Linked DNA regions of Alligator mississippiensis. The protein of the gene in region 4 interacts with the protein of the main gene of each other region in a pairwise test. Links are inferred from orthologs where the notes say so. Each region holds a gene or a part of one and is shown on either strand. Other genes may lie near its edges. The genes, in order: VWC2L, RGS17, COMP and OTX1.

What was found.
Region 1: the proteins of OTX1 (region 4) and VWC2L interact in binary tests that used the Homo sapiens proteins (3 or more experiments, as listed by UniProt). The two-hybrid records come from large-scale screens. The link is inferred for Alligator mississippiensis from reciprocal best matches to the Homo sapiens genes OTX1 and VWC2L.
Region 2: the proteins of OTX1 (region 4) and RGS17 interact in binary tests that used the Homo sapiens proteins (3 or more experiments, as listed by UniProt). The two-hybrid records come from large-scale screens. The link is inferred for Alligator mississippiensis from reciprocal best matches to the Homo sapiens genes OTX1 and RGS17.
Region 3: the proteins of OTX1 (region 4) and COMP interact in binary tests that used the Homo sapiens proteins (3 or more experiments, as listed by UniProt). The two-hybrid records come from large-scale screens. The link is inferred for Alligator mississippiensis from reciprocal best matches to the Homo sapiens genes OTX1 and COMP.

What each region holds. Positions count from the first base shown.
Region 1 is NC_081827.1:180,462,046-180,468,937, reverse strand, and holds the start of VWC2L (von Willebrand factor C domain-containing protein 2-like), read right to left. Parts: upstream 3,010-6,892; 5' UTR 2,959-3,009; coding exon 2,548-2,958; intron 1-2,547.
Region 2 is NC_081824.1:131,938,371-131,945,865, reverse strand, and holds the start of RGS17 (regulator of G-protein signaling 17), read left to right. Parts: upstream 1-4,495; 5' UTR 4,496-4,628; intron 4,629-7,495. UniProt on the Homo sapiens protein: Regulates G protein-coupled receptor signaling cascades, including signaling via muscarinic acetylcholine receptor CHRM2 and dopamine receptor DRD2.
Region 3 is NC_081839.1:1,283,349-1,291,152, forward strand, and holds the start of COMP (cartilage oligomeric matrix protein), read right to left. Parts: upstream 3,007-7,804; 5' UTR 2,654-3,006; intron 1,631-2,653; 5' UTR 310-1,630; intron 162-309; 5' UTR 1-161. Other genes in the region: UPF1 (regulator of nonsense transcripts 1), read left to right, coding at 4,365-4,589. UniProt on the Homo sapiens protein: Plays a role in the structural integrity of cartilage via its interaction with other extracellular matrix proteins such as the collagens and fibronectin.
Region 4 is NC_081824.1:213,439,597-213,447,247, reverse strand, and holds the start of OTX1 (homeobox protein OTX1), read right to left. Parts: upstream 3,017-7,651; 5' UTR 2,933-3,016; coding exon 2,836-2,932; intron 2,731-2,835; coding exon 2,579-2,730; intron 1,244-2,578; coding exon 473-1,243; 3' UTR 1-472. Other genes in the region: EHBP1 (EH domain-binding protein 1), read right to left, coding at 7,391-7,481. UniProt on the Homo sapiens protein: Probably plays a role in the development of the brain and the sense organs. Can bind to the BCD target sequence (BTS): 5'-TCTAATCCC-3'.

The DNA.
Region 1 (6,892 bases), on a different chromosome or scaffold from region 4:
ACATGGCACAGTATGGGCTGTTACTGTGCCATTTTTTAGTACTTTCAAAAGGAAGTACTAAATGACAATGCAGTAACAATGGTGCCACAGCAGCATATGTAGATGTGCCCACAGTGGGCTAAAAATAAGTTAGGAAAATGATTAAAATCCCAAACCTTCCACAATTATAATCCATTTTACTGTTCCAACTATCTTCTTAAGTTGTCCCAAAACTTTTCAGGATATAAGTCTACTTTGGGCACAAATCATGCATGTAACATTTGGTGAAGCTAATGAAGAACACATACACATATCCCCATATAAGAATCATACTTTAAGACCTCCAACTAATTCCTCAGCTGATGTCATATGTGACTATGCAGAGATCAGTATCTCTAGAGAAGATGATACTGGAAATTAGCTTTTAAAAAATGTAAACAGCAATGGAACAGTTCATGTGAAAGATGAAGGGTTCAATTGTATAAGTCCCCACAAAATGGTGAATCTAGTGTAATTACAATCAGCCAGTTTTTGAAGAGGAAGGAGGACTTGAGAAAGTCTTCCATCTCTGGCACAGCTTGACTATAAATGACACTAACTTGAGAAAGCCTGAAGATATTATAAATTTCACAGGAAACAGAAGAAGGCTAGGAGGCTGCAAAACTTATGAGCTCTAGGTATTCTGCTGTGGACATAACGGATGATATCCTTGCTCCATTTAAGCAGCAAACAACCACTGACTTCAGTGCATTGGGATTTCAGTCTATAAATCAGAAATTTCCCAGGTTCAGCACTTCTCTCTCCAGGCTCTCAGTTACAGAACTTTGGAAACTGTCTGCTCCCAGAGTCTCTCCCTTTCTCTCTGTTTCTGCATACATATCTATGCATATATATGTATATACACACATGATATTGCACTATGAGTAGAATATAACTCTAAAATTTATTCTAGGACTTCTCTATTTCAATATGGACAGAGTTTCACCATAACGTTCTTATAAACATGTTCCACTCTACTCCACATGGTGTATGCCCAGATTAAAGGCTTGATTAAAGGCTCCAGATTAAAGGCTTGATTGTGATTTAAATTAAATCTGGGGTCTTTTTATGGATGTACCTGGCTGAGGATTATTTAAGGTTGAGATGTTCCACAATCTGATGTGCTTTTCCTTCGCTAGGAAATCATTACAATGGTGCTGGAACTCTTCTTTTTATCAACTGCTCTATCTAAAAAAAAGGCCTCATGAAAGGTTCTAGTAAGAAACCCCTCATGAAAGGTTCATCTGAGGTTTTAGCAAAACAGGAAATTAAATTAATCTTATTCATTTTAAATGAAGGGTGTTTTTTTGGCTAAATCCCAAAATACCAGCCTGAAAAAGTACTCCTAGTGTTATTGCTTGTAAAATACTGATTAATCTTTTCAGTGAATAAAGATAAAAAACTTTTTTTGAAAGTTTTCCCTTTCTTATTTAATTTGTACAAACTCTGTAATAAAAAGATCCTCCTTAACAGTTTTCCATTGTATTGGGTATGGTCTAAGACTCAACCTGAATATGTCCTAGGTTATGTTAGCATATGTATTTGATCATGACCGAGGAATTAGATGGAATCCTCCGCCACCTATCAGCGAAGGGGTCATTCAAAGATTGGAACATGCTGTGTTCAAGGGTGATACTTGTGTTAGTAAGCTGGAAAAATTCTTCTGGGGGTGGCTACTAACGTTCCATTACATGAAAACATATCTCAGAATCATAAGCCTCATGTTCTTCTGAAACAGTGTTAGACAAAACGATCAGGTTATCTTTCAAGGGTATGTTTCTACTGTACTTTTATTTATTTTGTGAAAGAGACTGCTTCCTAAATATCCTGACTGAGGTTAGATATGAGTGAATGAGGAACCCCACATGCAAGAAATACCTAAATTATATACTATTTACAAGACGAATCAAAAGAAAACACTATTTGGGAAAAAAAAATCTATAAACTTGTATTACTTAAAGTTTGGAAACCACAAGGTCTTATGTGGAATTATTTCCATTGCCGGAAGAGAAAATAAGCTGGCAAGTATATAGGTATATAAATAGCTATGGTATTTTCCCATGAAGAGCTACAGGTTGTCCTTCAAAGAAAGTCTTCAACTTAATTGCAAAAGGATCACTGAATATTTTCAATATTCTTAATGGGAACTTGGCTATTAAAGTCATCATTGGACTTTATACTTTCTATTATTTTAAACAGTCATCTGCATAAAACAACACTATTAAGTTTAGTTTATCACCATTTAATCACAAAGAGCAATTCTAGGTTACTCCCTACTTTTGATGTGCTTGTGAATAGTAATCCTTCAAGTACTACACCAATACTTTTTGTTGCACAAGCTCAAATTTGATTTTTATTTAAATGCATTCAGTATAGGTTTGACTCTGCTGTTATTGAAGCCATTGGTAGTTTTACTATTGGCTTAAGGAGGAGCAGAGGTAAGCAAATATTGAGTACCTTGGAAAATCTCATCCCCGATCAGTTTGTATAACATGCTAGTATTAAATAACTCCCAAAGGTTGTTCATACCTTAAATTCCTCCAAGATTTTGTAATTTTTTCCATGATATTCACAAAAGTTTTTCACTTCCTTGCATTCCGGGCAGCATCCATTGTGTTCCACTTTAGTACATTTTGGGTGGATTTTGGGGCATTCTGGTTGATCACAAACAGGTCCATCCTCAGTACAGACACAAGGACAGTTGGAATGCCCTGGGAAAAAACGTTCTCCCAGTTTGTATACAAAACCACTGTCATCCACACAGCCTTTCCCTCGGTAGTCATCAAAGATCAGATTGTCATTACTTGAGGTCTGGTCCCCTTCATCAGCAGGGTAGTCTTCATGATTGATAGCAGCAGGGGTGACCAAGCCAGAGATTAATAACAGAAGTATGCAGGCTTCATGAATATGAAGAGCCATCCCCCTCCTCAACTTCTCCATATGATCCTATTATCAGTTATAAACGGCTGCTTCCATAGGGATACCAAAAAGCAGGGGCTGAAAATAGATATTTTAAATAAAGACAACTTGAATTATTAACAAATACATACTTGGTAAGGCCACGTGCTCAATCTGTATCTGTGGATAAAGCTTACTGCTTCCAATGCGCAGTGATAAGAAACACTGTTTCATTTTAAACAAATATCTTCTTTCAAGTTATTTTTAGGAGAATAAAGAACAGGAAATCTCTAAATGAAGCTAATAATTGTGTGTGTAAACACACACAAACACACAAACACACACATACATCCACAGATAACCTCCATTCAGGCTGGTTTACAGTATTAACTGGAAATGTCTGATATACAGGAAGTGGAATTATTTGCCTTAAATCACATGGTGAAAAGTTAGCTCAATGGGATTTGAACAAAGATTTATTATTGTTCCTATCCTTCTGAAGTAACCATGAAAACCAATAAGTACAACAATAATAATCTGAGTTGTAGCCAGGCATATGGTTTGAATAAGAAAGACAATGCTGAATTTTGTTTATTTTTAGAGACAGGTGGCCATAGTTTTAATTATAGTATTCCTGCAGAAAGAGCTAAAGTAGTTGGGCTAGGACCATAAGCATTATTGAGTATTACTTAGAAACTGACATTTTCAGGGAACAGTTTAAAAAAAAATTCTGAATAGGTGTTCATAGATAAATATTTAAAATGTTCCATGCATACAGTTATTATATTTGTCTCAAAGGCATAGGGCCAGTATTCATTCTAAAATGTCATACAGCTACATGGAATTCTTACACTTTTGGAAATGGAGAATTGTTCTTAAGTATTCAAGATACTGTTTTGAGAAAGAAGAAAAGACTACTGCTATTCACACCAAGAATAATCAGGTTAAAAAAAAAAGGCTCAGGATATATTTTCCTGGCACACAGTAAGCTATATTGTTTACCACATCTTTGTCCCTAAGTATACTTTCTTGGTTCTTTTCTATATACCTTTCAGAATCAGGAAGGAAAAAAGGTCTCTGTCCTGCTATAAGGTAAGTGGGCATGGACTGGCTGTCATACAGTCAAAAGTGTTTCAAGGAAACTTTTTTATCAGATGAAATATTAGTGCTGTATTTATTAGGAAGGAGGTATGTGGAGGCTGATAAAAACAACAAATAGAATAAACATGTGCCTGCATTTTTATATTTATATATATATATATATATATATATATATATATATATATATGTATGTGTGTGTGTGTGTGTGTGTGTCTGTGTGTCTGTGTCTGTGTGTCTGCGTGTATACACACACACATATACACACACACACATGCACACGTGCACACATGCATACAGAAATACAGATTTTGTCTTATTCCCCAAAAAGAAATATTTATTGTATATTGAGATTTTTGGCTGATGTTCAATATTTTGATTAAAGAAACAGTGTCAAAGACAAATGCATTAGGAGAAAGCTCTAATCATACAGGAGAAGCTAAGGGATTCTGTTGACAAGGCATTTTTTTCTAAGGCTGCAACAGAGGGAGACACCGGATATTACACAAGCTTTATCAAAAATCAAAAGATATTTTCTTAATTAAAGTTCTGTATAGCTTTTTATCACAAGGGTAATGTACTGTGATACTACCAACAATATCTTTTGTAACAGGGTGTTTAAAAAATGGGTGATGCTCAAAGATAAGTTTGCATTATGGATCTGGGGACTGTTGACTTGCTCACCTACAAGCTACAGGTAGGCATCAATTTTTCAGGCTTAGGTAAGTGAAAATTTAAGAAAAAATGGAACCAATAGAAGAGATTGATATTGAAGGTAATCAAAAATTATCCAATCATTTCCCTAAATCTACCCAACTTTAAAGGAAAGGCACCAAATAAAACCAAGTTCTATAAGAAGTAAAAATAAGTCAGTTATATGTTGTTATAGCCTGTGGTCATCTCAGATGTCCCTTGGCAACTTCAGAGACTCAGTTTAATGAACAGAATGGAAACTGAGCAGAATTCAGATCTACACTACAGAAAGATTTCAACAAGTAAACAAACCCTACACAGCTCAGAATTAGTTTACAACTGAACTTTTTATCATTTCTCATTAAAAGAGATGCTGGATAGTGTCTTACTCTGAGTAAAGGTCCCCCCTCCCCTCCACCCACCCCAGTGAATTATGCATACTTACCAAATCAGGCTCAGGGTGAAAGCTGGAGGGGGTCACAGGCCAACATGGACTAAAAGGTTAGAAATATATCAGTAAAAGCTGTTCGTCTTCATTACATTTTCAGTGATGAATCACGAACAATCCTTTTTCCTCCACCTCCCATTTGAAAACACAGGAAAACGGCAGCTCAGCAGCCAAGACATGAGAAATAAGCTTTAAGCCAGTGTTCAGAATTCAAAGCAAGCAGCAACAAGGAGGTCCAGAGGCAAGGCTGCCTTGTAACAATCCAGATCCAAACAGCACAATCATCGTGTCCAAGTTATTCTTTTTTTTTTTTTTTTTTTGGTTCAGGTCTTTGGATGCAATTTCCCTTCCCCAAACACAACTGATCCTTTCCACTCAGTGCTTGCAACAGCAAGCCGGCTGGTTATTTTGCTACGCTGTCGATACTATAAACGGCAAGAGCATGCTGAAGCTCAAAGCCAGCTCAGGCTGAAATGCAGTCAACACCATCACGATACGCTGCTTCGACAACCTCTCCCAACCCACGGGGGTATTTCTGATCTCAAGCACGGGAGTAACTTTCCCTTGCGTTCAGCACCGCGGACAGCGGCAGCCCGACAGGCGCTGCCTCGGAGCTCATTCTGCCGGCAGCCGGGATTCCTTCAGCACCACGGTCAGCGCCCCAGCCCAGCATCATGCATCACAGGGCGGCACACACGCCTCCTCGCAGTCCGCTCTTGGGCAAAGAAACTAAGAGCCCTCCAGAGCTTCTCTTGGGATCACTTATTTCCTTGGATACCATCCTAAGAGGGAAAGCGATTTCTAACCATACCTGAACATATTTCACATGCATCGGACCACATCCTCCCTCCCTCCCTCCCACCAGCCCATTTTAATTCTTAAGAGAACCTGCTCCAGATCAGACTGCAGGGCTAAGTTCCAGGAAGTGCCAGTATTTAGATTTAAGCTCTCTGCAGTTACTGAATGATGAGGCAAAAGATTACTGTCATGGCATCTCTCGCAAACTCTTGTTCATTCTTGCCCTGCCAGCATCCAAACCGTTTGCTGCATAAAAAATCCCATGTTGCTGCATTATTAAAACTTCACTTCTTGCCACGGGCTGGATTTGATGAAGAGAGAATAAAAAAAAAGTAGCCGAGCTCTTGTGTCTCTTGTTCTGTTACATTAAAAATCAATCTCCTTGCAATTCATCTAGTCTGTCATTAGGCGTCATTGTAAAGCTATTTCTCCTGAAACAACCAAATGAAAAATTCTTGATGTTCAAAAAAACACACTATCAATACAAAGGCAGAGAAATCTGGGATTTTATTTGGATAAAATAGACAATTATAATAATTTTGTGCAATTATGCCTACTGCAAACATTAACTGTGAAGACACTTAACTAAGTTGTCGCTGTCATGTCATCAAATCATTTCCATAAGGCTTTGAAACCAAGAGCATGTTAAAACAGGATTCTAGTTCTCAGGTCCAGAGTCGAACAGTGCCATCAGCACCTCCGGAAAGCAGGTGCTCTGCTTTGTGATCAAAAACAACACACTGCACATCATCTTCATGACCCACCAGGCTGGAAAGTTGCCCTGATTTGAGTTCCAGAACCTTAACAGTTCCATCGTTGCTTGCAAGGGCTATAACATGACCTGAAATTCAAAACAAAGTTATCGGAGTTTGAGGAGGCCAAATAAGAGAGCAATGTTTGCAGTTTCAGGTCTGATGGTATGCACAGCCACTTAGTGAA
Region 2 (7,495 bases), about 82 Mb from region 4:
TTAAGGCAGGATCATCCCTGACGAAACCATCCCAGCCAAGTGTCTGTCTAACCTGCTTTCGAAAATTTCCAGGGATGGAAATTCCACAACTTTTCCAGGTTGCCTGTTCCAATGGTCAACCACCTTCATAATCAGAAAGTTCTTCCTGATCTCCAACCTAAATGTCCTCTGCTGCAGCTTGAGGTTACTTCTCCTAGTTCTGTCCCCTACAGTCACAGAGAAAAGCCCATCTTCATCCTATCCATAATTGTCTTGCACGTATTTGAAGGGTGTTATCAAATCCATCCCCTCGCCCCGGGTCTTCTCTTCTCCGGACTAAATAACCCTAATTCTTATAGCCTTTTCTCATAAATCGTGTATTACAGACCTCTAATCTCTCTCTCTGTTGTTGTTGTTCTTCTGCTCTGCTGAACTCTTTCCAATCTGTCTACATCTTTCTTGAAGTGTGGAGCCCAAAACTGGACACAGTAATCCAGGAGAAGTCTCACCATTACCAAACAGAGTGGAAGAATCACTTCCCTTGATTTACAAGAGATGCTTCTGTTAATACAGTTTGGTACATTATTGGTTGTGGTTTTGTTGTTCCTAGTTTGTTTTTTGAAACAAGAGCACACTGTTGGTTCATACCGAGGTTATGGTGAACTGTAACTCTCAGGTCCTTTTCTGTGGTACTGCAGCCTAACCAATCATTCCTCAGTCTGTATTTGTGTATCTTAGACTTACCTTTCAGAGGATCCACCCAACCCAGTATCATCTGCAAATGTGCCAAGTGTGCACTCAGTCCAGTTGTCCAAATCACAAGTGGAATTTTACCCCATGGTTAGATTGGTATTGACTCCAGGGGGTCTCTACCTGGGATTTCTTGAGTGTATATTGACATTTTATACAAGCATGACATTGGCTGCCATGGTTCTCCTGCTTTACTTGTGGCAGGTTTGCGTGTTAAGTCTATGTTGTGTCAGGGTTGAGGGTAGTTTTATGTAGAGTTTAGATTATGATTATATGGGATGTTTTGGATAGGGATGATCCTGCCTCAGGCATGGGGTTAAGCTACATGATTTATAGAGGTCCCTTCCAGCCCTACTTCTCTAGGACACTATGTTTAATGATATGTGGCCCAGAGTCCTGGGGAACCCCACTTGATACCTTCTCCCAACTAGACATTGAGCCATTGATAGCTACTCATTGGATGCATCTACACATGTCAGTATGGTGACGTTGTTACTGTGCCATGATTTAGTATTTCCAAAAGGAAGTAACAGCCCATACTGCACCGTATGTACAGCGCATGCTTATTTTTAGCAGCTACTTTGCCGTAGCAGCATGCTATACTGGGGGAGCATGTCACTTTGGCAAAGTAGCTGTTGGTCATGTGTAGATACCTGCAGCTGCTACATCACCATAGCACATTGCTACTGTGACATAGTGTCATATGTAGATGCACCCAAAGAATAGAATATTCCAAGAGTGACTTGGATGAGGGCATGGAGAGCATCCTGTCCAAGTTCGCAGATAATACCAAGTTATAGGACAAAGTTAACACACCAGAGGGTAGGGAATGGATCCAGGCAGATCTGGACAGGTTGGAAAAATGGGAAGAATGAAATAGGAAACAGTTCAACAAAGACAAGTGCAAAGTGCTGCACCTGGGCAAAAAGAACCACCAACACTTACAGGCTAGGGGATGACCTTCTCAGCAGCACAGCAGCAGAAAGGGATCTTGGAGTCATAGTTGATTCCAAGATGAACATGAGTCGTTAATGTGACGAAGTGATGAACAAGGCTAACTACACTTTATCATGCATTAACAGGTGCATGACAAACAGGTTCATGGAGGTGATGCTTCCCCACTCTGCGGCACTGGTCAGGCCCCAGTTGGAGGCACTGCATCCAGTTTTGGGTGCCACACTCCAAGAGGGATGCGGAGAATCTTCAGAGGGTTCAGAGGAGAGCCACTCATGTGGTCAGAGGCCTGCAGGCAAGGAGAGACTGAGGGACCTAGATCTCTTCATCCTTCACAAGGGAAGGCTGGGAGGTGACTTTGTGGCTTCCTATAAATTCAGCAGGGGAGGGCAGCAGGGAATAGGAGATACTCTATTTACTAGGGCACCCCCTGGAGTAACTAGGAACAATGGCCACAAATTGCCCGAGAGCAGATTTAGGTTGGACATTAGAAAGAACTTCTTCACAGTAAGGGCTGCCAGAATCTGCAAAGGGGTTCCAAGGGAGGTGGTGCTCTCCTCTACCCTGAGGGTCTTCAAGAAGAGACTGGAGAAGCACCTACCTGGGGTCATCTGACCCCAGTGCTCTTTCTTGCCCAGGGCAGGGGGTTGGACTCAATGACCTACTGGGGTCCCTTCTGACCCTAACACCTATGAATCTATGAAACCAACCAGTTATGGATCCACCTTGCAGAGCATTCACCCAGTCTGCATCTTAGCTGATTCATTAGAATTTTGTACATCAAGGGTTAACTTTGAGGCCATTCCCGTTTGTAGTCATTATGAATGTGTTTACTGAACAAATAAGATGACCACCTTGGAATGTGGTCTATGTGGATGACATGGTCATTTGAGCTGAGAGTCTAGAGGAAGTGCAAGCTGTATTGGACCGATGGAGAGAAGTGCTAGAGGGAACAGAAATGAAGATTAGTCTATCCAAAATGGAATATATGCACTGTGATTTCTCTTAGGTACCTGATATGGGAAATGTGATAACTGATGAAAAACATGTTTGAAAAGTTGACAAGCTCAAGTAGCTGGGGTCAACCATTCAGCAGAATCCAGTTAGATGAAGAGCTGAATCATTGAATAAGGGCAGGGTGGACAAACTGGAAATTGGCAACAGGAATATTATGCAACAGAAGAGTATCAGTGAAGCTGAAGGGGAAAGTCTACAAGACATGTGTATCCAGCACAGAAACATGCCCCCTGAAGAAAGCTCAAGAAATAAGACTGAACATGACAGTATGGGTGAAAGGGATATGGCTTCAATCAATTATTTCTGACAACTGAAGTTGAGGTGGTACACGTGGAGGCCCTTGAGATTTCAGTCATCTGTGCTGCCCTTTTGTTATTTAAAAATGTAGACCAGATTTTCACATCTAGGTATACAACTCAAATACAGGCATTTAAAATTAGGCCCCAACATCCTTATTTAGGCATCTATGCAAACCAACTCTGGTGTCTGAAGTGCAGAGCAATGACTTTCATATGCTTAAGTTCTAATCACTAGGAATCTGTGGCGTCAGTGCCAGGATTCAAGGATAGAGTCCAAATGATTATAACTGTTGTTCTCTGATAATTGGATTTGGGGTTTGGAAAGAAAATACAAGTGATGCCCATGCTTTTAGGAGCATTAACTTTATGGGGCTGTTTCATTTCAGCTGTGGTAGAATCAGAACAGTTTTGGCCTCATTTTCTTGTAGTGCTATACCACCACAATTTATTGGGATCTCAGTTATTCTGGTGGAATAAGAGGTGCGGTGTGGATGTTAAATAGAAGGAAGATATCCAGTCAGCAGCATTCAGGTTCCAAATTAACATTTTTGCACCTTTCTCCTATTATGATGTGTTGAGAGCCAGATTGTTTTGGTTGACTAGTAGAAGCAACATCTGTTGTCTGTTTAGATGCTAGGATTCCTAGAATGGGAGTGGGATTCAACAAAATCCAGAAGCCAAACAAGTGTTTCTCCAAAATGGGTGCACCGAGGCATATCAGAGTCCAGATTTTTAAGGTGCAGTGGGTATAGTAAACATGTGCTCTATTTAGACAGTGGCAGCTGTGAAACTCAGGCAAAATAATTGGCAACATCGTCCAGGCTTCAGAAGCTATCGCCACATGTTTACACTCCTGCTTCAACTAGATGTGTTGCAGTCTGAAGCACCCACACTTCTCTGTGGAGCGTGGGTGGCCAAAACGGTGTCCAGGGGCTGGGTCCAGGTTTGGGCAGCATTTGCACTGAGGTGCATCAAGTTTGGGGCTGTTTTATGTGCGTGCAGCAAAAGCAACAGCTAGCCTTTCTTTCTCTATTTGCACAATGGGGGAGGGACAAAAATAGGTGGCACCCAGGTAGGGCCGAGCCTTTGCCTTTTCCAGTCGGGATGCATTCATCCATGATGCCCGTTTTCCATTTCAAAGACAGAGAGGGCAGCTGTCCTGACTCGCCCCTGGCATCTATTTAAAGAGAGAGGTTGGGAAACATCCCACTGATCCATCACGCATCACACCAGGTGTCTTCAAAAGCCATCCCTGTAATCCAGCCTGGCTCGTGCCCGCCGGATCCCACGGGGCTGGGACCAGCATCGCCCAGGCTGGACCCCTCCCGCCTGCACGGCTCAGCGGGAGCTCCCGGGGGCCGGGGCTGGGGCCGGGCCGTGAGTCACAGCCTGGGGACAAGCGGGGAAACTCCAGCTGCTCGGGGAGGCTCCAGCGCTAGTGGCAGAGCGCATGTGCGCCGCCTGCCTCTCCTCTCCTCTCCTCTCCTCCCTCCTTTCCTCTCTCTCTCTCCCTGCCGGCTGGGTGCTGAAGTTGGGCGGATGGCAGCAACCCAGCTCCGCTAGGACCAGCTGCACCAGCCTTTCCCTGGGATCGCTCCGTGCCAAGCGCGTGCGTCCAGGCGGGGCTGGGTAAGATGGACTGGGGCTGTTTGTTTGGTTTGGGGGGGGGGGGTTCTTTTTGTTTTGGGGGGGGTGGGGGGTGGATTTGAACCTGAACCTTGGGAAATGACACCAAAATGTCTGCTTGCTCCTGGTGCGGGGGGAAAAATAATAAATTAATAAATACAAGAGAGATGGGGAGCGGGGGGAGAGGGTAAGGGATGGAGGGCAGCTGCAGAAGCACTCACAGGGGGGACTGCCTTGGGTGTGTGTGTGTGTAAAAGGGGCAGTGAGCAATGGATCGGCGGCTGAGACTGCAAGTGTGTGTGTGTGTGTGTGTGTGTGTGTGTAAAAGGGGCAGCGAGCAACGGATCGGTGGGTGGGTATGGGGGGGGGGTGTGAGTGTGCCTGTCGCTCCCCTGCACGGATGCACAAAGGGGCTGGGTCCCGCGGCTCTGGCGGCGGCATCCTCCCCGGTGCCCGCGGGTGCTGGCGCTGGCGCTCCGCGGCGCGAGGGATCCCGGCGAGGGGCGGTGATGGCCGGGGGCTGCAATGTTACACCCGCCGGCTGGCACATCCTCAACCAAGGCTGCCTCTCGCCCTCCCGCATGCCCCCACAGCGGCTGCAGGCTTCGTGCTTGGGTCGGGGGGGGCGAGGAAAGCCATCCTGGCTTTCAAACGGCAAGGAGATAAGAGAGATGCCCCTTGCCTTTCCTCCACTGCCTCGCTTCCTTCCCCGCGCAGGGGGCCCGGGCTGCCTCCGGATCGCCCACCCCGGCGCCGGGGATCCGGGGCCGGGCGGGTCCCGGCCCTTCATTGTTAGCATCCAGCCGGCCGCGGCTCGAGCAGGGGGCCGGGAGGGGCCGGATCCGCGCCCCCGCCCCCGCCGGGAAGATGTCGGAGGCTGGCGGAGGCCGGCTGGCCGCCCCCGGCCCGGCTGGCAGGGAGGGAGGCATCCCCGCGAGCTGGGCAGCGGTGCCCGCCTTGCCCGCGGCCAGCGCCCCGCTCCCGGCACCTCCCGGAGCCCGCACTCCGCCTGGCAGGCAGGCGGGTTTCCTCCCAGGGAGGAGCTAGTTTCCCCTCTGATCCCTTCAACCCCGGGTTTCTTTTTTTTGCGAGAAATGCTGACCTCCCCCCTCCCTTGAGACGCAGATGGAAGGTCCTGCCTAGCCACCTTGGGCTCCTGCAGCGCGCCTCCCTCCTAATGCTCTGGCCCAGCTTATTCCAGCACTGGTGTAAGGGCGCTTTAGAGCTCAGAGTTGGGGCGTCCAGGACTTTGGAGGGATAATTCTCCCCCCTCCTCCCCATCCTAAAGAGTGTGGCCCCCATGTGTCACCAGCACAGACCGGTTTATTGAGAAGTATTTAGGTATCCAGCTCCTATTTATGTGCCTAACTCCCAGTGATTTTAATGGGAGTCCTTTGCCTGGACACCTTGTTGAGCCATGTCTAAGATCTTTCTGAGCAATGAAAATGTGGGCAAAAATATAAAATAACCTAAGTGAATATTGTGATTGTATCAGATGCCAACCCAATAGCTCCAGAGATTGTAGAAACAACATTTACGTTTTCATACATCAGTGCATCAGTCTTTACCTTTGATCTTTAGTGACCTCAGAGTTTTTCACTGTCAGGGAAAATGGATGAAACAGAAGAATAGGCTGCACTGGAGGAAAGCTGGGGAAGGGGAGTTAGCGACTGGCTATGGATGTTATAGCTAAGAAAAAAATAACCAGCGCTGTGCAGCTGCACCAAGTGAATTCCCGTGTATTTCCATGAATGCTAATGTTATTATAAGACTTAAGAAATGTTTAGGTGACTTCAATTCTTACCCATTGAAGTAAACAGAGAGGAATTACCCCTAAACACTGGTAAGAAACATCATCTTATATCTTTGAAGGTATTGTTTTGTTGTTGTTGAGATATCCCACCCTATCCAGAAAGACTCAGAGCAGCTTACAGATGAACAACCCAAAAGATAAGAAACAAAAATAAATTCCCCAGTGGACACCCTAAAACTTTAAAACTCTACCCTATACCACCCATACCCATTTCCTGCATATTACTCAGGTGAGCAAATCCTCTGGCCCATTGCAGCCATGCTTCCCAAGACCCATTCTCAATTAGGTGTACAGAAACTTTTTTCTTTTCCTCCCACTCCTTGCCTACCCAGAAGCATAACAAGCAGAGTTGGTGCCCTGGGCAAGCCCTGGGGGAGAGCTGGGGGGGGTCATGTAGTTTCTGAGAGAGGGGGCACAGGTTCAAGAGTGGGGACGTGGTTCGCAGAGCAGTCTTAACCATGCTGGGGACTCTTGGCTGAGCTGCTGCTGCCCCTACCTCCGCTCTTAAAACAGCAGCAGCTGGGAAATTTTTTGGCCCTGGGCAGAAAACAAGCAAGTGAGTGAACTGTGTGGCTGCTCTTGCTTCCAGGACATGGACTCTGCAGGGCTGGGGGTGATTTCTGTGCCTTTCTTAACTTTTTGCCTACTCTCCCACCCCTAGATATAATACTGCCTCCACATGCACATCTGCCCCTACTCCCCTGCCTTACATCCAGGGGAGATACCCTCTCCTTCAATGTTCCTATCAAGTCTACTCCCCCAGTCTATCATTACTTGACCAAATGAATATCCACAATGTGCACGGTACCATGCACACACACAAGAGTGTGCAGGCTCTGCCCCAAAGAGCTTATAATCTAAGTACTAAGTCCAGATCAACAGAGGTATTTAGGTATCTAACTCCTATTTATGTGACTAACTCCCAATGATTTTAATGGGAGTCCTTTGCCTGGACACCTTGTTGAGCCATGTCTAAGATCTTTCTGAGCAATGAAAATGGGAAAAACTATAAAATAAATAATGTAAGTGAATATTGTGATTGTATCAGATGCCAACC
Region 3 (7,804 bases), on a different chromosome or scaffold from region 4:
GATGTAAAGGGGCTTTCTTCAGAAAGCAGCTGAGGTGCATTCCAAGGAGAGAGCATGGAAGAAGCCTGCACTTGCAACTGCCCATGTTCTGCATGTTGTGGATACATGGTGTTTCATTCTTTTACTGCTCTTGGACTCATGCCTTTCACCAGAATAAAATCCTTAAAAACAAAAAAACCCAACAACACAAGGTCAACGTGGTGGGAAAGTTCCTTATGATAAGCCTAGAGTTGGCTCCACAGAGAGCAGGACTTTTGTTCACAGCTCTAAACTGGCTGAGACACATTTTCATAGATCAGTTTTACCTACCTGCTCAGATGTCACCGACTTGCACCATCCTTGGGCCCACATATGTATGCAGTCTTCCACAAACCTGTCTTCAGTGAAGATGCTTCAAAGTTTATGACTGAGCTTTCATGTTTCATTCTTGCTAACATCATCCAGAGCTTCGTGACTGAGATGGTTATAAGATAGGAGGACTCTGAGGACCCAGATAATTATCCTCCTACTATTACTGATACACAGATCAAGATTGATTTGTTCCTTGCTTTTGCAGAATAGGGAAACTGTAAATTTTAGAGAAGCGGTGTAAGGCTCAGGGCCGGGGAGTCTCCTTCCCAAGAACTCTTTCATGACAGCCAACAAAACAGAAAGTACCGTGACACTGGACCCAATGATCTCATTTTATAAGGTTTTTTTCCATGGGACACTAAAAATAATGAGAATATTAAGACAAAAGAAGATACCTTTGAGGATAACTGAAAATAACTCTTCACTTGATTTTCTATTTATCACACAAACACTTGCAGATTAATTCAGGTGGGCTGTAACTACTGTTGAGCTGTGGAAGCTCTGTGGAATGACTTAGACTTGTGCCCTGGCACAGGATAGCGGCAGGGGCTGTGATCACAGTCAGCTTTCCATTCTTGCCCTTAATGGTTCACTTCACTAACCTACTTTAGTGTTCCGGCTCTGTTTCCACGAGTGGGGATTCCCTTGGATAACTGGCAGATTTAAGAACTCCTTATTAATCCTCCCCTTCATTAAAGAAGTCAGTGACAAGACTGTATAAAGGGGTATTAAGGGATATATAATTCATAAGCAAGTTTTCTCCAATTTAAGGTTCCAGGTTTAGCCGATTCCTCTCATGGCTCACTGGTAAATAGGCCCCAAGTTGCCCTTAGATGCTAAATAATATCACTTGATAAAACTGGATTAAGGGGCAGTTCTTTTATCATCAACCAGATAGATTTGTCTATTCAAGGAACATTTACATATTTATATGTGGATCACAGTCCTGGAAAGCTAGTTAGGAAGACCAAGAACTGCCCATAGTGGAGGGCAAGGTGCTAGCTACTAGGTCACAACTGTAAATGTGGACAATTTTACATTAGGCCTAGAGCATACTCCGCTTCTTCAAGGGCACTCAGAACTAAAGGTGAAATCAAACAATGTGTATATAGAAATATTAGCCCTCTCAGCTTCTCTACTTTTTTTTTTCTACATATGATTGGTATAGGATAGTCCAACGAGGAGGAAGCTTCAGAAAATAGAAGGTGCAATTTTCCATTCTACATCAATGCTTCTAGTGGACCGTTGCATGCCTGCGCGTCTGTTCCTGGGATTCATTCTACAGGGAAAACAGGGACAAAATAAAGGCTATGTGTTGAAGGAAATATATACCCATCTTCAGTAGCTGTGAAATCACTTTTTTTTTTTTTTTTGGGGGGGGGGGGGGAGAATGACCATCTCCAGCTTTCCATTTCATTTTGCCACAACCAACTTGAAGAAGTTAGTTTAGAACAGCTCTGAATTTTGAACTAGTAAAAGGCAATGGGATGAAAACACCCAAAACCAAAGTCCTCCGTGTCTTCACAGAATTCCCATGCATCTTCTCAAATGTCCCTCAGCTTGGACCTGGCAGGACCATTTCTGAAGATGAGCAGAGAGCTCAATTTCTACAGCATATCCAGTTACAGACCCTCTTGTGCAACTGTTTGCCAAATGTGCAAATAGCACAGTAAACAGTAACAAAACTTGATCATTCTCAATCACAGCCAAATTTCCAATTAGTACTTGATACTCCTCAATCCCCATATGTCTCAAAATGATTTACAATGATTAATTAATCTTTACATTTTAGTGTGAAATGGGTATTTTTATTTCTAATTTACAGATAAGAAACTGAGGGAGGAAAAGAGGAAATTAACCCAGGAGTTGTACTTCCCAAACTCCTGGTTAACCACTACACCACACTCTCCTAGTGATGTGGGAACAGATTCAGGGAGCCCTCAATCCCAGTGTCCTGCTCTAGCCATTTGGACCCCACGTCAAGTGGGCAAGGTGGCTTTTGACATGTAACCTGGACACGGGGATGTGATCAGTCTATTGCAAACAAGGGCAGGTAGGCAGCCAATGCACGGATACAGCATTCATCCACTCTGGATACAAAGTCTTGATAAGAAAGGGAAGGTGGAAAATCTTGCACCCCTGCAGCAGTGAGTCTCAACCAGGGTACAATGGCACCCTGGGGTGCTCCGAGATCCTTTCAAGGGTGCCACACAATGCTAGTACTGTTAGGTGTGCAAACACGACTCTCATGATAAACCCAGACAATCCAAATAGGAGTCCATAGCGCTAAAAACACTCTCACCTGTTGCCATCTTCTGGAGTTCTTTGCAACGGAAAAATTGCAGTCAAAAAAGGAGCGAGAACTAAGCTAGCATTATCCGAGGGCGGCTTTGAGTCTAACGGGGGTGGGTTGAGTCTAAAAAGGTTAAGAACCCTGTCCTAAAGGAAACAGGTACAGAGATTTCTTCTCTAGCGACAGCCTGATAACCACAAACCACTGAAAAATAAGGCTGGAAGAGCTCTCAAGGGCCACCTGGCGCCGTTTGGGATCGTCTGGGCCTGTCTGCACCATCCCCGGCGAACGCTCACCAACCGGCACTGGAGGTCTCACAGCCGCGCTCGGGGCTCTCGGACACACCTCAGTCGGACGCTGCTCTCATGCCCCGGGTGCAACCCACTCGCCCTGTCCCGTCCCGTCCCGTCCCGTCCCCTGCGACGCTCGCATGGCTGTGCCCCGTCTCCTCTGATGCAGGTTAACTCCCAGGACCCCCCGCCTGTCCCCACAGGGCCGGGGCTCACACCTCTGCGCAGTGCTACTGCCACGGGAGCCCCGCCTGCCCGCCCCACCCCTGCAGGGACACAGCCCTCGCTGGGGGGCACCGGAAGACCCCCCCCCCCAGTCACTGAGGGGCAATAACAGACCCCCTCCCTCCCTTCACCTCACTGAGGGGGCAATAACAGACCCCCCCAATCACTGAGGGGGCAATAACACCCCCCCCAAGTTACTGACGGGGCAATAACAGACCCCCTCCCTCCCTTCACCCCACTGAGGGGGCAATAACAGACCCCCCAGTCACTGAGGGGGCAATAACAGACCCCCTCCCTCCCTTCACCCCACTGAGGGGGCAATAACAGACCCCCCCAGTCACTGAGGGGGCAATAACAGACCCCCCTCCCTCCCTTCACCCCACTGAGGGGGCAATAACAGACCCCCTCCCTCCTTTCATGTCACTGAGGGGGCAATAACAGACCCCCAGTCACTGAGGGGGCAATAACAGACCCCCTCCCTCCCTTCACCCCACTGAGGGGGCAATAACAGACCCCCCCAGTCACTGAGGGGGCAATAACAGACCCCCCTCCCTCCCTTCACCCCACTGAGGGGGCAATAACAGACCCCCCCAGTCACTGAGGGAGCAATAACAGACCCCCTCCCTCCCTTCACCCCACTGAGGGGGCAATAACAGACCCCCTCCCTCCTTTCATGTCACTGAGGGGGCAATAACAGACCCCCCCAGTCACTGAGGGAGCAATAACAGACCCCCTCCCTCCCTTCACCCCACTGAGGGGGCAATAACAGACCCCCTCCCTCCTTTCATGTCACTGAGGGGGCAATAACAGACCCCCTCCCTCCCTTCACCTCACTGAGGGGCAATGACAAACGGCGCTTCTCCCCCCTCCCCTCAGCGAGCCTTAGACCCCGCCCTCCCCCCGCAGGTGTGCGTGCTACGTCACGGGCGCGGCGTACGTGGCGCGCCGCGTCGGCGCTGGCGTGCGTGTGTCGTCACGGCGGGGCCTGGCGCGCGGCGGCCGCACGGTTGGGCTCGGGCGCGCGGCGGCCGTTGGCTCCTTGTCGCGGGGCTCGCGCGCGGCCTGTTCCTGTTCCCGTTCCCGCCGCCTCCGCCTCCCTCCGCCTCCGCCTCCCGGGGCCCAAGCGCGGCGTGCGGTGCTGTGCGGTGCGGTGCGGTGCGGTGCGGTGCGGTGCGGGCCCCGGCCCGGCCCGGCCGGCCGCCGCCATGAGCGTGGAGGCGTACGGCCCCAGCTCGCAGACGCTCACCTTCCTGGACACGGAGGAGGCCGAGCTGCTCGGCGCCGACACGCAGGGCTCCGAGTTCGAGTTCACCGACTTCACCCTCCCCAGCCAGACGCAGACGCCGCCCGGGCCGGGGCAGCCGGGGCCGGGGCAGGGCCCGGGCGCGGCCGGCGTGGGGCAGGGCCCGCCGGGGCCCATCGAGGCGCAGGTGAGCCGGGGGATCCCTCTCCCCAAGCACGTGGCGGCGGGCGGCGGGGAAGTGCAGCCGTGGGGCTGGGGCCGGCCCAGCGCCGGCGGGCGAGCGGGCGAGAAGTGTCACCAAACGCACGACTCGGCACCCCCAAAGCGCCGACCCCAGAAGCCGGGGCAGCAGCTCGCGTGTCAGCCTGGGCCGGTTCCTTGGGCAGACGCAGAAACTATTGTGGCAAGAACTACACCGCGCCGCAGCTTCGTTCCTTCAAAGACAATATAAACCAAGCGTCCGTCTTCCACGGAGCGGGAAACGGCTCCGGACCGCGTTCCCCCGCTCTCTTATTAAACCAGCGAAATAGCTGGGGGGGGAAAGGTCTTTGCGAGCGTGCGGGCGCAGCCCCCTTCGTCCGGCGTAGGGAGTCTGCGCGGCGCGCGATCGTCTTCGAGGAGCGGAAGAGGCTAAAAGCGTCCGTGAGAGCGCGTACATAGGTAGGAATTAGGGAAAGAAAAGGTAAAGGGACAGGTGGGGAAGGAGTCAAAGGTGAGTAAGGGAGACTTTAGGGCCCAACGTCAGTCGGGAACGTGAGTGATGTTCTTCCCCGGGGCGCGGCGGGTCTGCTGCTACCTGGGGCTTCGGCCTGGGCTGGGGAAGGAAGAGGAGGGAGGATTTGAGTTGGGGTCGGACCACCGCAGAAGGAAATATAATCGTTGAGGATCGCAGCTGCCTCGGCGGCGCGGCTCGGACGCTTGGAAAATTGCATTAGAAAGAAAAACGGCGGTTTCATACGTCGGGGCCGCAGCGTCTTATCCAGGCCGCCCATCCCCGTGTGCGTGTGGGGTCCTGCTGCCCTGCAGCGAGCTGTTTGCAAACCGTGGGGACATTGAAATGCAAGTTTTAAAAGTGAATCGCAATGCTGGTAAAGCCCAGAATCGGCTCTAGCAGGTGAAGTACGTTTCATTTTGGGTTGCGTTCTTGCTCGGACTGTGCTCCTGCTGCCAATGCATCAAAGGCAGAAGTGGGAGTGCAGGTCCCTGCGTTGGTTTTAGCTGCAGTTGTTGGTGTCGGTAGCAGAAACCCAGGCCCCTGAACTCGGGTCTTGACAGGGATTTCTCAGTTCACCTTTGTGTCTTTTTCTTGTGCGTTTATTTGGATGTCAAATCCGTGCATTCAAACCCGGGTGCCAGAAAAGCACGCACGGTGACAGGACGGCTTGTCTGGTAGGGCAAAAAATAAACTTTTTTTCCAAGCGGTACACAGGTTTGATCTCATCAAAACCCCGCGTGTGCCAGGCCTGCGAGTGTAACCGGGTTGTGTTGTCCTGTGTGTATAGACATAGTTTCATAGCATACGCGGGCACCGTGCTTGTACCGTGTATCGTCCTGTCATAAGTTTCTAGGAGCTGTCACGCCACTTCTACATTTTCTTTGGTGGTTTGCTCACATCTGGCGGCGCTGCCTCGTGATTTTCCTGGTTGAGTGCCGTACCAGTGTTAAAAGTCTCTGCCTCGGGATTAACACTAAAGGCATTTTCCTGTTTTGAAAGGAACACGTAAAGAAGATATTGAGGTAGCGAGGATCATCTACCCCCACTCAAGGGAAGATCTTATTTTGGAGTTTTATCAACAAGCTGCTGAATAGTTTTCAAAACTGGCAAAACAAGCATGAAGAAAAGCACTTTTTTTTTTTTACCAAGACTATATTTTTTCGCTGTTCTGTAGGCAGTATAAACCATAGTGTATCTCAGACCACGTTTGCTTTGTCTTTGCAGTTTCGGTACATATCTGTCCAGACTTGTGCATGTTAGCAGACCCAACTTGCGACCGTGTAGGAAATGGCACTTTCCCACATGAGGGCTTTCTTCCTGTGGCAGGCATTAAGCTGAGCACTTTGAAAGGCGTTGAAGTCGACTAGTGTCCCACTAGCAAGGGAATAAGGGGTCAGTGGTGCAAAAGTGATGGCCATACAGTTTCTTTCTTCACAGGTCAGCTGATGCGGCCCTTTTCTAAAGCCTGTATGTAAATCAGCCTTTCTGCACACACTGCTACACTCCTGATCTTCTAACTGCAGCTGTCTTACCTCTGTTTCTCACCACCTACTTCCTCTTCTCCCTTTCATGTTCTTCAGGGCCCTCTCCAGGCAGAGATTTAAAATAGCTGCTTTTGGCACATTAGCTGATATGCCCACTGACAAGTTTTTTAAAGTCTACTGTAGAGGAGGGACACGGCTCAACTCAACTGCTAATATGCTCAACTGGTTGAAAAACTGCTTGGCAGAGGCTAGCCGGATAGGGCTGTAGTCTGGAGTGTGGGAGACTCGGGTTTGGTTTCTTGCGCCTCCAGATCTCTTACGTGATCATGGGCATGTTACTCGGACTCTGTGCCTCACTTTTCCCGTCTGTAAAGCGGGGAACTCTGAAATGCACTGCCCCGTAAGACACTGAGGGTGGACAGGCATTTAGAAAAGCGCTTGTACTCTAAGGTAAGGTAACAGATGGAAAGGGTGCCGTGCTTCCTGTCTACGTGAGTCTTCTAAAAGCACACGGCCTGAAATGCTGACAGCACACCGTGCAGTCTAGCTGTATACGGCTCAGGTGTTCGTTGTGTAAGGTTTTGTACATCCTGCTGAAACTGTCTTTTATCATTGTCCTTCCTCTTCGCCCCTTCTTGTCTGTTTGGACTCGCTTGCTTTATCCCTGTAAACAGAGATTTTATGTTCTTTGTTTCTTGGAGGCCTAGCACATGCTTCTGGCTACTTAAAAAATCCCCAAATGCTGGTGCTGGGACAGCATACGACCCTGTCTTGCAGCTAAGTCAGGCAGCGCTGGAATGGGTATTATTCCCGGTAGTAATCACGGAGAAGTAGGGCTGGAAGAGGTCATCTAGTCCAACCCGGTAGAGTCAAGTCCCATAGTCTGAAGTGGACTCTTTTCCAGCAATGGGCCTGGGATTTTACCTATTGAGTTTTGCAGCTGTTTCCCTTTCCACAGCTTTAAACATGCTGTCTAACTCCTAAGCAGAAGGGCAGGAGGTGAATACGCTTTTGCCCGTGTATGCATCAGCTACCAGGGACTGCTAGCTACTGGCACAGGCAGTGCCTTTTTGAAGAAATTGAGAACAAAATTTCCATGTTATTCTTATCATTGATTTGGAAAATAACTTCTCCTCTCAGGAGAAACTTCTGTTTAGAGACTCTTTCAGGTACTTTCTCTCAGCAGAGAGAGCAGTGCCGTTC
Region 4 (7,651 bases):
GGAGAGGGGAGGGGAGGGGAGGGGAGGGGAGGGGAGGCCGCACATGCCCGCGCCCCGCGCACGGAGGCCTGTTCCCGCCGGGGGAGGGGGCGGGGGACGGGGACCGGGGACACAGAAGCGGGGCGGGGCGGGGCGGCGGCACGGGGGCATCACTAAACGCACTAGACAACGGGGCCCGCGGGCACGGGACTGGCGGGCCGGCTTTGCTTTTATTTTATCTTTTTTTTTTGCCTTTTTTCGTTTTGATTTTTTTTTGTTTTGTTTTTCGTTTGTGTGGTTTTGCCTTTCCTTTTCCCCTTGGCCCCGTCCCCGGGAGGGGGGGGCCCGCTCCGCCTCGGCGCCTGGTCCGCAGTCCGGGGCCCGCGCCCAGCCCCTGCCGTCCAGCGCGCGGGGCCGCCCCGCCGCGGGGCCAATAAATAAGAGTCGGTGCGGGGCAGGGCGGCGCGGGGCCGGGCGGGCGGAGGCCGGGGCCCTACAGCACCTGGAAGCGCCAGGACGCCTGGTCCTTGTAGTCCAGGCAGTCGGGGGAGTTGAAGTTGAGTTTCCAGGAGGCGGCGGCGGCGCCGGGCTCCTTGTAGTCCAGGCAGTCGGAGGAGTTGAAGGCCAGCCCCGCGCTGCCGTAGCCCTGGTGGTGGTGGTGGTGGTGGTGGTGGTGGTGGCCCGAGCTCTGGCTCAGCGGGTGGTGGTGGTGGCCGGGCATGGAGGATGGGCCCATGGGGCTGAGTTGGTGCGGGTGGTGGTGCGAGTGCATGGGCGCCAGGTAGGAGCTGCAATCCACGCCGCCGAAGTAGGAGGAGGAGGGCGGCGCGGGGTAGCCCTGCCCGTAGCCGCCGCCCTGGCCGTACGACATGGGGTAGGAGGCGGACGAGGCGCCGGGCACGGAGCGCTGCATGCACGAGGCGCTGCTGGGCGGCAGCGGCTCCGGCACCGACACGGCCACGGCCGAGGGCGCCGCGCCCGGGGAGATGGACGCCGGGCTCCAGATGGACGAGGCGGGCGTGCTCAGCGCCGCCGCCGCCGGGTTGCCCAGCGCCGCCGCCGCCGCCGCGGGGCCCGAGGAGTTGGAGCTGGACGAGGAGGACGAGGCGGAGCTGGAGGCGGCGGGCGGCGTGAACTGGCCGCTGCTCTCCGAGCCCGAGCTCTCCCGCGCCGGCGACGACTTCTTCTTGGCCGGCCGGGCCTTGGCGCCGCCGCCGCTCTGCTGCTGCTGCCGGCACTTGGCCCGCCGGTTCTTGAACCACACCTGCGGGGAGCGCGCGTCAGCTCGGCTCGGCCCCGGGCAGCACCCACGCCCAGCCGTCACCACCCGCACCCAGCCCGCACACCCCAGCCTCCGCTGTCGTGCCAACCCTGCCGGCTCCCAGCACCCTGTTCCCCCGGGCCTCGTGGCACCAGGCATGAAGGCCGGTGCCCCCCACAAGCACTCCCCTCCGTACGCGCGCTCCTGCCAGCAGAAAGTGGCCGCCGCCCTGGGCAGCCCCCCGCTGCACGTCTGTCGGCTGCTACCCGGCCCCGACAGGCCCACCACCTTTCAGCTCCTCTGCCCCTCCGTGCCCCTTCCAGCAAAGCTCTGCTCTGCACCAGGCCCACCCTGGCCTGGAAGAACAGGCCTGCTAGGCACACAGCCCCATCCTCCAGCAGGGCACTGGGCCCCCAGCCCACAAGACATGCCAAAAGCCTTAGCACAGGGCACCACGCTGAGCCCACTGCAGTCTTTCCGGGAACAGGGGATCCTGCGCCCAGTTTCCCCCGCCACTCCAGCAGCGGGCCAGCCCTGTGCCCACACGGCCCTGGCCCCTCACCCGCTCCATGCTACAGCACCCTACGCTCACCCAGCCCCGCACCTGCTCCCGGCTTGTCCTCACTACAGCACCCAGCTGGCTCTCCCCAGGAACAGTCATGCCAAGCTACTTCCCCTTTTCCTGAAATACCCCTCTAGGAAGAGGGGCCTGGTGTGCTCAGCACAGCACCCATGGCAGGGAGGAACCACGGAGAGATCAGCACCCAGCTTCCAGCATCTAAAGCAGCACCCTTCACCCTAGCTCTCCCTTCTCCAAAGGAGGAAAAGGGAAACTGGCCCCACAGCTACTGCCCCAGCACAGCACCCAGCTTTGCTACCCATCCAGCTCCTGCTGCCCTGGCAGAGGAAATCCCACCCTCCTCTCCCGCAGCATAGGCCCTCTGCCCCCACCGCACCCGGCTCTTGCAGCCCCCAGCCGAGAGGGTGCTGGTCACAAAGCTGCTTCACTCCCGCCCTGGAAGAAGGGTGCCCAGGGAGTGCTCGCGGCTGCCAGGGGAAGGGGCATGGGGGAGGCCTGCGCAGAGGCTGCAGTGGCTACTACCACACAGGCCCGCCAGGCAGGAGCACGAAGGCCCGTGCCAGGCAGGCAGGATGCGCCACAGGCAGCCTGGTCGGCCCCGCACGCCGCACTGCCCTGCCGTGCCTCAGAGGTGGGGCGGCTCCGGCCCGGCTGCCAGGGGATGCTGCGCTCCCGGCGAAGGCGGGGCCCAGGCGGCAGAGCCCCGCACGTCGCGGCCCTTCCCGGGGGCCGCAGCCCGCGCCCGCCCCGCAGCACACCTGGACGCGGGACTCGGGCAGGTTGATCTTGAGCGCCACCTCCTCGCGCATGAAGATGTCCGGGTAGCGGGTCTTGGCGAAAAGCGCCTCCAGCACGTCCAGCTGCGAGCGGGTGAAGGTGGTGCGCTCCCGCCGCTGCTTCCGCGGGGTGGCTGCGGGCCGGGGACACACACGGAGGTCAGAGGCGGGCCCGGGGCGGTGGGCCCCTACGGCGCGGCCCCAGCGCCCGCCCCAGCCCCAGCCCCCGCGCCGCTCACCGGGGTAGCCCACGGAGGGGTGCAGCAGGTCCATGGCGGGCCCCGCCAGCCCCAGCCCGTTCATGCCGTACGGGGGCTGTTTGAGGTAAGACATCATGCTAGAGGCTGGCGGCGGCCCCGCGGCTCGGGTGGCGACGGGGCGGGCTCGGCTCGGCTCGGCTCGGCTCGGCTCGGCTCCGGGCGGCTCCGCGCCAGCTGCGGGGACACACACACACGCATGCACGGACCGGCATCGGGCGGCGAGGGGCGCGCGGGGCAGCGCCCGGCTGTGCCGAGCGGGGCGGTGCTGGCCGGGCGCGGGGCGCTGCGGGAGCCCGTCCCGACGGCCGAGCGCAGCGAGGGCTGAGCCCGCACCGCGCTGCGAGAGCTCCGCCGCCAGAGTTTGGGCTTGCCCGCGGGAGGGAGGGAGGGAGCGAGGGAGAGTGCGTGTGTGTCAAGGTGTGTGCGCGTGTCAGGGCGTGTGTGTGTGCTGGGGGAGTCGTTTCCCTACTGCCGAGACCTGACCGGAGTTGCACTCGCAGAGACCTTGCGAGGAGAGACAACTCGACAGGGAGTTCGGGCTCGTCAGCGGGAGAGAAACAGAGAGAGAGAGAAATTACCTACCTACGTGTATATACCTACCTGTATGTGTGTGTACCTACCCGTGTGTGCGTGCCTATGTAAGGATGTGCGTGTGTGCGTGTCGGGGGGGGGGGGGGGAGCGCCCTTCCCTGCTGCTCAGTCCAGGGCTCCTCCTGGCTGGAGCTGGAGCTGGAGGGAGCCGTGTCCCCACGGGGACACCCCTAGGATAACTCCGCCGGGGCTTGTCAAGTGTGTGAGAGAGAGGCAGAAAGTTTACGCTTGTCACAAATGCGTGCGTGTGCAAGTGCGGGTGCCCGTGAGCTTGCGCAGAGGGGTGCGCGGATGCGGGGCCCAGGCCCGTACAAGGAGGCGGCGGGGGCCCGGCGCGGGTAGAGGCCCGGCGCCAGGCCGGGGAGGCAGCGCGGCCTGGAGGCTGCGGCCGCGGGGCTCGGGGAGGGACGGAAAGTTTCCCCCAAGTGTCCGGGCCTCCTGCGAGGCGCCAGGCCGGGCCCGGCGGTGCCTGTCCTGCCAAGGGGCCCGTCCGTCCCGCCCGTCGGGGGCAGGCCAGGCAGGCCCGCAGGCGGGCAGCGGGGAGTCGAGCGGGCCGCCAGTTCGCCCACCCGTCGGGCCCCGGCCCCGCTCACCTGCTGCTCGGCGGGTCCCGCGGCCCCCGCTCGCCGCCCGCCGCTCTGCTCTGCACGGCCCGCGCCCGCGCCGCCAAGTGGCCCGGGCCGCCCACGGGGGTGGGGGCAGCCTGGCGGGGCCGCCCGCGCCCCGAGGCAGCGGCCGCACCGGGTCGGGCCGGGGCACACGCAGGTGCGGGTTATGCAAGCGGCTCGGGCGGGCGGGACGCGGGGGCGGCGTGGGGCCCCGGACCCGCCTCTCCCGCCGCTCGCAAAGTCCTGTGCGGCGGGGGGCAAAAGCAACCACAACGAAAGCCGCCGCCCCGCCCCGCCCGGGGGCCCGCGGCCGCCCCGCCGGGTCCCGGCCCGGCCCGTCCCGTCCTCCCTTACCTGCGCGGGGCGCGGGCCCTGCAGGGGAAGCAGCGCGCGGGATAGCGGCGGGCTCGGCGTGGGCGCGCGGTGCGGGGGCCCCGTCGAGGCCGGCACGGAGCCAGCGCCTTACCTGGAGGCGGCGGCGGGCGGGAGGCGGCGGCGCGGGGCGCGGGGCGCCCGGAACGTAGCCTGATGAAGATTGATCACCTTTCCACCGCCCTTGCCTTGTATGTGAGCGCAGGCGAGTGCGTAACCGCCCCGGCGCCAATCCCCGGCCGCCCCGCTCTGACTGACAGCCGCCCGGGCAATGGCAGCGCGGGGCGCGGGCTCCTCCGCACCCCCCCGCTCCCTCTCCTGCTCCTGCTCCGGCTCCTGCTCCTGCTGCTGCTCCACCCCGGCCGGCGCGGCCCGGCCCGGCCCGCCAGCGCGCCCACTCCCGCGGCTCCCCCGGGGCGGCCCCGGCGCGGCGGGAGGTGGGACGGGGCGGGGCGGGGCGGCCGGGGGGCGGGAGCAGGACTTTCCCGGCCCGAGCCCACCTGGTGCCGGGACAACTTCCAGCCACTTGGCAGCAGCCCCAGGGCTCGTCCCGCACCCCCGCGTGCGGCCCCGCAGGGAGCAGCCGTCCGCGCCGTCGGGGCTGCGGGTTTGGCGGGCGGCCCCCTAGCCCTGCCCGAGGGCCAGGGGTGGCGGGGGCCCTGCACCCCGGCCCGCCGCCCCGGGCCCCGCCACCCGCTGGATTTCGTTAGCGGCGCTTGGGCTTCCCCTGCCCCACGGCCGCCTGCCCGCCCGCCCTGTCCTGCCCTGCCCCGTCCCTCTCGTGCGGTCACGTCCAGGCCTGTCACGGCCGCGCTGCCGCTGTGAGGCGGGCAGGGGACAGGAGCCCGCGGGGGACGGGAGGGGACAACCCCGTCCAGGGCCCGCAGCTCTTCCTCTCCCCGGGCCCCGGCGGGCGCGGGGCTTTTGTTGCCGTCCCCGAGCCGGCTGGTCCCGGGGGAAGCGGCGCTGAAAGCGAGCTAATGGTGCGGCCCCGCGGCCCCCTGTCCCTGCGGGCGGCGGGGGCCGCGCATCAAAAGCCGCGGGGGGGGGGCAGGCCAGTCTATGGTGCGCGGGCTCCTCCGCACAAAGGCGCCGCGGCCCATTCACAAAAAGTGAAGGACTGAGGCGGCGGCGCGGCCCGAGCCCCGGGGGCGCTGTGAGGGCGGGAGGGGGCCGGGGCCCCCCGGGCCGCTGCCCCGCGCCCTGGCCAGCCCGGAGGGATCAGGTAGCACAGCGCCCCCAGCCCCTCCGCTCCCCTCCCGCCGCTTGCTTTGCTCGCAGGAGCGTGTCGCCGGGCCCAGGCTCGCCGGCGGCGGAGCGCGGGGAGGCCCCGTCGGGGCAGGGCCAGCGCGGCCCCGCGCCCCCGCCCCGCGCGCAGGTAAGGCTCCCACCACCTCTGCTGGCTCCGCGGCTCGGCCCCCGCGCCAGCCCCGCCGCCGTCGGGCCCCTGCCCCTGCTCCGGGCCTCTTCGCGCCGCCACTGAGGCGCGTTGAGCCGGGGCCGGGGCCGCCCCGCAGCCCTCCCGCGGCTGCGGGCTGGGGCAGAGCGCGGGGCCGGGCAGCGAGAGCCGAGTTGCCCCTTTGGCCCCCGCGCGGCAGCTCGGACTTGAGGCCAGGACCGGCCACTGCCTCTGGTGCCCAGGGTAGGGCCCGGCCCGCCGCACGGGCAGGACTGGGACCAGGCGGCACCCGGGCAAGTTTTAGGAAAGAAACAGGCTGCGGGATGGCTGCTGCCGGCTCGGAGCTGCCGCGCCGGCTCTTCCGTGTGGAGACCACCTCGGTTTTTTTTACATTCACTTTTAAGACTCCGAGAAGCTCCCCCCACCTCCCCCCCAGCCAGCCGAGGTAAGGAACTTTTCCTGCTGTAAAAGACAGGGAAGCAGCCGTTACGGTAAGAAAGATTCGGCTTTTATTGAAAATTTATATATGACTCAGTATTGTAATAAATAAACAGGTAACAGTTTTCACCAAAAAAAGAAAAAAAAGAAAAGAAAAAGAGCACGAGGCTAGAGAGGGGGACTTGAAGTGGGAAGGGATTTGCACACAAGGGCGAGACAGACTTTGGTGGGTACAGAATAAATATTAACAGCATTCTGGACCCCATGCAGAGATCCAAAACGGAGAAGGGAACGAAACTGTAATAAATAATTATTAAAACAAAAAAAAATTGCGTAGCCTTTAATGAAAGAAAATTTCTGTAAACTGACGCACTTCAGTTGCCCCCGCTGCGCAGCACATCTCCAGAGCACAAAGCTTTTTTTTTGTTGTTGTTTTGTTTTTTTTGCAAACTGCATGTAAAGAACCGGTCTCTGAGCAAATCAGACAGTCTCAATTTAGGTTACACTTAACAATAAAATGTGAAACTGCTGCTGAAATAAAACACTGGTAAATATAGCACATTTTAATAACTGGATTGAATCGGACCTAACTATAAAAATGTAGGTAGCTTATTAAATATTACGTATGGCAGGACTAGATGAAACCATTTAGCGTGATTTTTATTTTGTTTCCCCCCTCTATAATCCTATTATGACAAAAACTTACTTATTTCAAATCTCATTCCTTCTCCAGTAAAGAAATCATGATAGACTTCCCCCCCTACCCCCACCACCCCCCAAGACATCTCTGATATTACCATCACAACAATGTTTCTGTGCAAATCTATGGAACAGAATTTCAACAATATGACTAAGCTCACAAGTAAAACATGGTACAAAGCTAGTTTGCTCAAATGGAAACCCACCCACCCACCAAACCCCTCCACCCCCCACCCCCCCAAAAAACAAAAACAAACCAACCCCAAACTCAAAAAACAATGCAGTTATAGAGCTGGCCTAACCAAATGGAAAAAGTTTAAAATTTTTCAAAACATTGTTTTTTCTTTTCAGTCTTGTGTCAGTATTTTAAAAATGTAAGAAAGGGCTCGACTGCAAAATGCAACTGCATCTGCTCCAAGAAGGCCAGTCACTGAAGGACACATTTCTCTTCTTTCTTGGCCATCTTGCCTTTGTTTTGTTCAAGAGTCCTTTCCAAATGTTCATCTTCTTCCTCAGCCCTGAAACAAACACAAGGCACAATTATTACTGTCCATTTTCTGTTCAGGCGACGTAGTCAAGACACTACCTTACACCTTGGAGTCTCTAGGCAGGGCTAATTTGCCAAAGGAACTCCAATCTGGGATACCCTTCTTAGAGCTAGATGTGAAAGCACCATTCGGGTTGAGGA